Linked DNA regions of Macaca fascicularis. The protein of the gene in region 2 binds, or shares a complex with, the protein of the main gene of each other region. Links are inferred from orthologs where the notes say so. Each region holds a gene or a part of one and is shown on either strand. Other genes may lie near its edges.

Region 1 (4,783 bases), on a different chromosome or scaffold from region 2:
AAAATACAAAAAATTAGCTGGGCGTGGTGGCACACGCCTGTAATCTCAGTTACTCAGGAGGCTGAGGCAGGAGAATTGCTTGAAGCCGGGAGGCAGATTGCAATGAGCCAAGATCGCGCCATTGCACTCCAGCCTGGACAACAAGAGCAAGACTCTGTCTCAAAAAATAAAGAAAATGATGATCATTTCTATTGAGCCAGGGACAAGAAAAGGATGCCTTTTATGGCTTCTAATCAACAGTAAAACGTAGGTAATGGTCAATGCAACGTTCAAAAAAACGATTACAGAAAGAAGGGAAGGGAAAGAATTTAGAGAAACAATAATTATAAAGGAAGATCACTGTCCTTGTTTGTCAATTATATGATTATCTACATTGAGAATTCAAGATAAATTATTAGGACCAACAACAAAAGTCAGTATCATTCCTAATACATTAATTTAAATAAATCAATAACTTTTAAAAACAAAAAATACGGCTAGGAGAGGTAACTTGACCAAGGTCACAGTAAATAAGTGGAATTGCTGGAATTCAAATCCGTAGCCGTAGGCCAGGCATGGTGGCTCCCACCTGTAATCCCAGCATTTTGTGAGGCTGAGTCGGGTGGATCGCCGGAGGCCAGGAATTCAAGACCAGCCTGGCCAACATGGTAAAACCCTGTCTCTACTAAAAATACAAAAATTAGCCGGGCATGGTAGTGTGCACCTATAATCCCAGCTGCTCCGGAGGCTGAGGCAGGAGAATCGCTTGAATCCGGGAGGTGGAGGCTGCAGTGAGCCAAGATCATGCCACCGCACTCCAGCCTGCATGAGAGAGACTCTGTCTCAAAAAAAAAAAAAAAAAAAAATCCATAGCCGCCTGGCTCCAAACCTCACACCAGGTGTACATTAGAATCATCTGGCGAGTTTTTAACTCGACCTTCCCCACCCCAGATTCTGATTCATTTGGTTAGAGGGGTGGGCCCAGATTTCCTATTTTGTAAAAGTTTCCAGCCGGGCGCAGTGGCTCACGCCTGTAATCCCAGCACTTTGGGAGGCCGAGGTGGGCGGATCATGAGGTCAGATCGAGACCATCCTGGCTAACACGGTGAAACCCTATCTCTACTAAAAATACAAAAAAATTAGCCGGGCATGGTGGCGGCACCTGTAGTCCCAGCTACTGGGGAGACTAAGGCAGGAGAATGGCGTGGACATGGGAGGCAGAGCTTGCAGTGAGCCGAGATCACGTCACTGCACTCCAGCCTGGGCGACGGAGTGACTCCATCTCAAAAAAAAAAAAAAAAAAAGAAAAAAAAGAAAGAAGAAGAAAAAAAGCTCCCCAGGTAACTCCAAAGTGCTGAGGGGTACTGGTTAGAAATGCATAATCTCAGGTCTCTCCCCAGGCCTGTTCTGAGATAATCCACTCCTTCACTGAGTGGCTCACTGCCATTCTTCCACACTGACTGGAAACAGACTCTGCATTTCAACATGACCCCGTATGTGAATTAGATACACGTGAAGGTTTGAGACTCAGTGCTTGACACCAGTAGTTCTCATACATTATCAGAATCATCTGATACATACAGTGTGTATCAGAATCATCTGAGGGGCCTGTTATCTCAGCTTGCTGGGCCCCACTCCCAGTTTGACTCAGGAGGTCTGAGGTGAGGCCAGAGAGAGTCATTTCGAACATATTCCCAGGTGATGCTGATGCTGCTGGTCAGGGGCCCACACTCTGGGAACTATTGGTCTATACCATGCAGCTGTTAGGTAAGTAGAAATTTAGGTAATGAGGCTGGGCGCAGGGGCTGACGCCTGTAATCCCAGGATTTTGGGAGGCCAAGGGGAGTAGATCACCTGAGGTCAGGAGTTCAAGACCCACCTGGCCAACATGATGAAACCCAGTATCCACTAAAAATACAAAAATTACCTGGGCATGGGAGCACCTGTAATCTGTTACTTGGGAGGCTGAAGCAGGAGAATCGCTTGAACCCAGGAGGCAGAGGTTACAGTGAGCCAAGATTGTGCCACTGCACTCCAGCCTGGGTGACAGAGCGAGACTCTCAGAAAAAAAAAGAAAGAAAATAAATCTAGATAATGAATTGGGGGGGGGGGAAACCCAACCGGTAGTATATAAGGTACATAGGTTTTGAAGGTAGAGAAACCCAGGCTGGAATCCCCACTCCACCCCTAATTATGTAAACCTAGAAAAGTTAATGTCTCTGAACCTGTTTCCACATTTATTAAACTACAGGCGAAACAAAGCTACCAGAATCACACTCCACTGAAGGTACTCTCCTTTGATTTCAACGTACCCCGATATTGTATTAGTGCACTAGGTCTTACCTATCCCTTATTTTCAGACCCTGAGTTAACGGGGGTGCAACGCTCTCTCTTTACGACCTCACTCAGCATCCCGTCCAGGGCTGTGCAGTGTGGCACTGAGCGTGGCAAGCTAGACTAGGCCAGTGATGAGCGGGGCTGGGAGCTAAGTCCTTGGGCAGGGCCTAACGACCAGCCACCAGGCTGCAGCCTGACGAATCTGCGATCAAGCAAAGGTATGGGGTTGCTGCTGCGACTGCAAAGAGCAATCACTAGACCTCGAGTCAGGCCCGGGTTCTAGGACAGGCTCTGCCACCTTCTAGGAGGGAGACCACTTAGCAAACCACTTAGCTTCTCCAAGCTAGCTAAGCTACCGGTAAAACGGGATGAGCACCCCTTACTCAGAGCAGCGGGAGCGGGTCTGGGGAAATGAGCTATACTCGGTAAATGGGGAAGAAAACGCTTCCTGGGCTCCGGCACCTCCTTCCGGAGGTCCTGGCATACCCCACATTCCGCCCCGCGGCTCCCTGCACCGCCGACCCGGACCCACCACGCGACATTCCTTCCGCTTTCCCCGTCTGGGTCGCCGCCGAAGCTAGCGGGCGCCTGGACGGGCTGCCTCCCGCCGGCTGCAGCAGGACGGAGAAACCACGCCGGCGACCGGGCCGCTCTGTCCTCCCGGCGCAGAGTGCGTCTGTGCTCTGCGAGTCATCGCGGCACGGAGAAACTACGATTCCCAGAATGCTTCGCGGCGCGGGGCTCGCGCTCAGCAAATGCCGGCCTGCGTCATTGAAGTCTCCTTCACTAGTCGTTCATTCACTCCGCACGCGTTCTTGAACGGGCACCCTGGGCCAGGCTGCTTCCTAGGCTCCGGCATAGAGCAGTGACCAAGATCAAGTGGCTCCCCGAGCTGATGGCGCTGCAGGGGAGAGAGTCTTAGGAAAACAAACAAGAAAAATAGGGAAAAAGTTCTTTAGAAGATTGAAAGTGTGACGTGGTAGTGACTAGGTGGTCTTTTATTGGATTGTCAGGGGTGTCCTGAGAAGGTGACATTTGAGTTGGGATTAGTGACATGACGCCAAGCTTGTGAAAACTATGGGCGGAGCATTGCAATTAGAGGGAACAGTTTGTTAAATAAAATTTATAGGAGGCAGGGCTGGGCGCGGAGGCCCACACCTGTAATCCCAGCGCTTTGGAAGGAGAAAGCGGGAGGATCATTGGAGCCCAGGAGTTCGAGACTGGTCTGGGCAACATAGGGAGACCCTGTCTCTACAAAAAATAGAAAAAATTAGCCCACTGTGGTAGTGTACACCTCTGGTCCCACCTACTCGGGAGGCTGAGGCAGGAGAATTGCCTGAACCCAGGAAGTGGAGGCTGCAGTGAGCTCAGATTGTACCACTTCATTCTAGCCTGGGCAACAGAGCAAGACTCCGTCTCAAAGAAAAAAAAAAAAAAAAAAGGCAGCCATTGGTTTGGACAGGGCTCCTGCACCAAGCCCAACAGACAAAACCAAAATGGAGTCACTCATGCTAAAGTTCCACATCACCAAGTGGAAACTAAGTTGCTTATCTGATATTCAGATAAATCAGAAGAGTGAGAGATACTTAAATCTCCAAACCATCCAGTTTTAGCTGGCAGGATAAGGAAGTCCCCTCTGCTTTAGCCTTCAAAGTTACAAGGAAAGTAACTTTGAAACAACCAATCTGCTTTTTGTTTTCTGTTTCTGCTTTCCTCAGCCCTTTTCTGTCTGTAAAACTAATCTCCTCTGCTCAGCTTATTTGAACACTCATTCCGTTTTATAGAATGAGATGTTGCCCAATTCTAGAGTTGCAAATAAAACCCAAATTTAACAAATTTAGCAAATAAAAGCCAAATCACCAATTAAAAGTCAATTTTTTTCTTTTCACAATTCATGCAAAGAACCTGGGGGAAATGACCTTGACAATTTAGGAACACAGGAAAGGCCAGGGAAGCTGGGGAGAGTGGTATAACAAGAGACCAGAGAGGAAGCAGGAGCCAGAGCATATAGGACTTTGTGAGCCAAGGTAAGGAGTTTAGATTTCATGGTTAGGAGTGCAGCCTCCGGATACAGTGCCTAGGCTCAAATCTGCTCCTGGCTGTGACTGGGCAAGTTAGCTATCTTCTCTGTGCTTCCGTCTTCTCAACTAGTACTAGAAGTGCTATGATAGGCTATTGAAAGGGAGCAACGTGATTTGATTTACTTGTAGAGACAGGGTCTCACCGTGTCACCCAGGCTGGAGTGCAGTGATGTGATCATAGCTCACTGCAGCCTCAACTTCCTGGGCTCAAGTGATCCTCCTGCCCAAGCCTCAAGAATAGCTGGGACTACAGGCACAAGCCACTGTGCCCTACCTGATTTACATTTTTTTTTTTTTTTTTTTGAGACGGAGTCTCGCTCTGTCGCCCAGGCTGGAGTGCAGTGGCCGGATCTCAGCTCACTGCAAGCTCCACCTCCCAGGTTCAC
Region 2 (4,769 bases):
CTGTAGACATCCCTATGATGTCCTATGATCTCGGCTCACTGCAGCTTCCACCTCCAGGGTTCAAGCGATTCTCGTGCCTCATCCTCCTGAGCAGCTGGAACTAGAGACAGATGCTGCCACGCCCAACTAACTTTTCTATTTTTAGTAGAGACAGGGTTTGACCATGTTGGCCAGGCTGGTCTTGAACTCCTGGCCTAAAGTGATCCGCCCACCTCAGCCTCCCAAAGTGCTGGGATTACAGGTGTGAGCCACTGTGCTTGGCTACTTTTAAAATTTTATTACTGCAAGGAAAAGAATAGGACTGCTCCACAAGGGACTTCAAAGAGATTCTATGACAGAGATACAAAGTGAAACATTTTATGGTTAAAACACCATTACACTTAATTTTGCACTCCTTCCACACTGTCCTGTCTGTGAACTTGGATGGGTAACTTGGATCTGAATTGATGAAATACAGCATTTTAAAGTCAGCAACAAAATGTAGCTCCTCCTGTATTCTTCATTATGTTTCATTGATGATATGACCTAACAAACCTTCTGTTTGCTGTTACGGCCTGATGTAACTTACATTTTATGTAAATATTTTGCAAAGAATTAAGCATTCTCAAATGCATAGCCATTTTTTTCCAGAAAGCATTTGTATATGTCCACAAATAGTTTTATCTTACTGGTATCTATATTTTGATTTTTCTGAGCAACTGTATCCAATCAGGGTTTAGAGTAGGCATATATATATATATGTATATATAGTTTTTTAAATTAAAACTGTGGCATACACATAAAATATACCTAGTTCTTTTCTTTTTCCCTTCCAACTTTTGTTTTTGGATCAGGAGGTACGTGAAAAGTTTGCTGCATGTGTAAATCATGTGTCACTGGGGTCTGGCACACAAATTATTTTGTCACCCAGGTAGTGACCATAGTACCCGATAGGTAGTTTTCTGATTCTCACCCCCCTCCCACCCTTCACCCTCAAGTAGGAACTCTTTCTTGAATAAATCCAATCCTCACCCATGTTTCTGTTGTTTTCTTGCTTTCTGAAGGTCAACTCTGTGTGACGTCAACACCTGTCTCTCATGTACACCCAACTGTCTGCAGTGCCATGGTGAAAATTTTCAGTATGTAGGACACATTCTCTGAGATCTTAATTCCAGGGGTATACTTAATCACAAGAAGTTGACAAAGCTGGTCTTCACACACTGTCATATCATTACAGTGAAGTGCTCTACAGGGAAAGCCAAAACCACCCACCACATAGCAATACACAGTAATATTCCTTTCCCTTGATAATCTTGGTAGCAACGCAATAACTGGTAAAATAGAAATAAATGTTGCAATGAGACTTAAGAGTGCATTTCAACTAGCTAATGGTGGCAAATTGCATAGGCAAATTAAGGTCCCCCAAACTGCTCTCGTTTTGGGAACATGCATACTGTCTTTGTGTTACAGCCGGGCAAGCAAGCCGGGGTAAATCCTAGCTTGGGCAGGGATGCTGTGGCATGGTAAGACATCCAGCAAAGGCACACATAACAGCACACAGCGTTTCAGGATGTTTCTCTCTTAATAAACAAATTTCTAGGAAGGAAGAAAATCAGTCCCTTGCTTGGCACACCTCTCCATCCAAAAGGCAGTGACTTAATAAGGTAACAATTGAATCACCAGGATACAGATGCTTTGAATAGCTAAGTAGGTCATTGTGTTCACAGGGCAGATGTCAGAACTGCTTGCCAGATGACAAAAGAGATAACCCTAGGCTGTTTTTATTCCATTTATACAAGACTTAACTCACACATTAGAGCCTCTGCTGTTTACAGCTTTACTCTAAGGATCTATTAGGAGGCTCCAAGAAATTCCCTTGTGCCATTTACACCTTTAGAACTTAAAATAATCTGCACATATGGTAATATGAGCCTGACAGACACAGTCCTGCACCCAGCCAGGCAGAGTGGCTGTAAAACAGCGTCTGTGTTTTAGAGGCATTCTGTGCCTGCTGCATTTCAGCACTTGTGACTTAGTAATGTGAACATATGTGTATCAAGACCCTGCAGCCCTTCTGCTTATCGCACTCAAGAAGGAGCTGTCAATGTACAGGGGTTATGGGATTATGCGCCTGTGCTATCCGAACAGATCTCCCCACACTCCATCCGATCCTCCTCAAATCCCACTGACCAAATACTCTCCTTCCCCTAATATTGGCTGTGCTCTCCCCTCACGTCTCCTTTTCCGCCCCACCTTACCTCTCACTGTGGTCTCTAAGACCTCTCATCACCTCTGCAGACGTCCCTCTGATGTCCCCCAAACTCTGTAGCCCCCGCCACCTCTCCAGGTCCTCCATCAATCCTGTAGACCCTCTCCGCAGGCTCATCACCTCTGACCCTTCCATGGGCCCCGATTACCTCTACAGACCTTTCCCACGGCTTCTTATCACCACTATAGCCTCACCACTCTCCCTCTGTTGCTCCTACAGCCCCTTTTCTTACTCAGAGGGACCCTCCCCACGCCGTCATTACCTACATTACTCAAGCAGTTCCACCCCACAGTCGCTGCTGATCCCCGCAAATCTCCAAGGCGCTCCCACAATCCGTGCAGACCCGCGCCCGGCCACCGCCGCCCCGCAGACGCCCCCTCGGCCGCCAGCTTCCGGACGGCGGCGGCCCCGCTTCCCGCCCGGACCGCGGACTCACAGGGCATTCGCGTGAGCACGTTGCGTGGCGCCTTCCTGCTTCGACCGGGACCCCTCCGGCCCGCTCCTGCGGCTCCGTCCCCTTCCTCTTTGGCCACCATGAGACGGCGGAGACGCTGGATGCGCTCGGGGTCCGGGGCGGGCGCGTCCGGGCGGCGGCGAGTCCTGCCTGAGGGCCCGGGCGCGGAGGGAACCCCCGAGCCCGCGGCCGCGCCCCGAGCCCGCCCGCGCCCGCGCCCGCCGCCCCGGACCCCGGTCCTGAGGAAGCTCTCGTACTCCGCCACGTTGTTGAAGCAGGGGGCATTGGGGTAGGGGATGGGAGGCAGGCGGGGCGCGTACAGCGCCAGCAGCGGGTCGAAGCTGTCAGAGCTGACATCCAGCCGCGGGCTGGGCGGGCGCGCGGGACTCGGGGCGCGAGCCGACCTCGCCCCCCGCTCCCGCTCCTCCATGTTTGAAAGGCCCGCAAGCCGAGGCCGATGGGAAGAAGGAGCGGAGCCGCCAGAGGGCGGCACTGCGCAGCCGCGGCGCGGGGTTGCACTGCGCCGACGCGGCCGCCGGAGGGCAGCACCTGTCCTCGTTCCACCCCGGCCGGGGGGCGTGGTGCGCGGCTCCGACCAGCCCGCGCCTCGCACCGCCTCCGCCCACGGCTGACAGGTTAACGCTGTCGGCTGCTGCTTGACCTGCTCCAATGCAGTTTCCCCATCTATATCATTACCACTTAGGGTGTTTGTTAATACTCTGGGTTCCCCGGGAATAAGCTCGGGATCGCATCCTCGCTTGAGCTGCAGGAAACGTCTGGAGGAAGGCAATGAATGTCTCAATTTGCTTCCATGCTGAGTACTACTGATGGGGTGGGAAGAATAGCCTCCTTGGGCTCAAAGTATTTAGCGTCTTTCTCATCTGAAATATGACATAAATAGTACCTACCTTATAGAACTGACCTCAGGATGGGGAGATACTGCCTACAGAGCTCATAATAGATGCATGTCGGCCAATACTGGGTGTCTGTCCTCCATTTCCTATACACTGTGCATAAACAAATTTGCGCTTAGTATCAAAGAAAATTCATTATATCACTGTCTTTCTAAGCATTGCTAAGCAATTGGAAGAAACGAGGATCCAGCTCTTGGAGGAAACTATGGAAAATTCACAAGACCTGATCATACCACTTGCTACTTTATAGTCTCAGTTCGGCAAAATATTTTTTGGTTGATTTTAAAATGACAGTCTACTCTACACAGAAGGCCCAGATACAACCTTCTCATCCATCAGAGCCAAAATGTTTCCACTCACCTACAGGCCACACATCACTTGCCCATCACCACATTCTTGAACTGCCATCAACTAGTGTTCTCTGTACTAGTTGCTTTGTGTACATTTCAGTTTCCTTAAGACTTAGAGAGGATGTCTCCAAGAGAGTACTGGAGAGTACCTTAGACAGCAAGATGAAAATTAATATACAACTGTGATGTATACCTTGGGATGAATGCATTCTACTGCAAAGATAAAACCATCAAGCAGGCCGGGCGCGGTGGCTCACGCCCGTAATCCCAGCACTTTGGGAGGCCGAGGCAGGTGGATCACGAGGTCAGGAGTTCAAGACCAGCCTGGCCAAGATGGTGATACCTCCCCCCCAATCTCTACTAAAAATACAAAAAATTAGCCGGGCATGGTGGCACGCACCTGTAATCCCGGATACTCCGGAGGCTGAGGGAGAGAGCTGCTTAAACCTGGAGGAGCGGAGGTTGCAGTGAGCCGAGATCGCACCACTGCACTCCAGCCTGGGTGACAGAGCGAGACTCCGTCTCAAAAAAGAAAAGAAAAGAAAAGAAAAACCAAGCAGTGGCTTCTAATTAGTAGCAGTACAGGTTTCTTTATGGCACAGGTTTTGAACGCAGCTTATCACTTTATTCAGAACCCCCTGCCTGAATAAAAAACTCGAAGCTGCAGAACTGCTGGCAATTCAACAAATGAATGCTTATCCCCACATCATATAACAACACTGAGTGATAGCCTTTATAGTGTCATTTAAGACCCACAGAAAGCACGTTTCTCTAGGTGGTTTTCTTGAAAATTTGTACTCTAA

The links. Proteins that work in one complex are often made in the same cells at the same time.
Region 1: LSM11 (region 2) and LSM10 share a complex: the UniProt entries of both Homo sapiens proteins name them as parts of the heptameric ring U7 snRNP complex. The link is inferred for Macaca fascicularis from reciprocal best matches to the Homo sapiens genes LSM11 and LSM10.

Annotation. Positions count from the first base shown.
Region 1 is NC_088375.1:198,522,933-198,527,715, reverse strand, and holds the start of LSM10 (U7 snRNA-associated Sm-like protein LSm10), read right to left. Parts: upstream 2,995-4,783; 5' UTR 2,803-2,994; intron 1-2,802. UniProt on the Homo sapiens protein: Appears to function in the U7 snRNP complex that is involved in histone 3'-end processing. Increases U7 snRNA levels but not histone 3'-end pre-mRNA processing activity, when overexpressed. Required for cell cycle progression from G1 to S phases.
Region 2 is NC_088380.1:164,546,705-164,551,473, reverse strand, and holds the start of LSM11 (U7 snRNA-associated Sm-like protein LSm11), read right to left. Parts: upstream 3,145-4,769; 5' UTR 3,133-3,144; coding exon 2,685-3,132; intron 1-2,684. UniProt on the Homo sapiens protein: Component of the U7 snRNP complex that is involved in the histone 3'-end pre-mRNA processing. Increases U7 snRNA levels but not histone 3'-end pre-mRNA processing activity, when overexpressed. Required for cell cycle progression from G1 to S phases.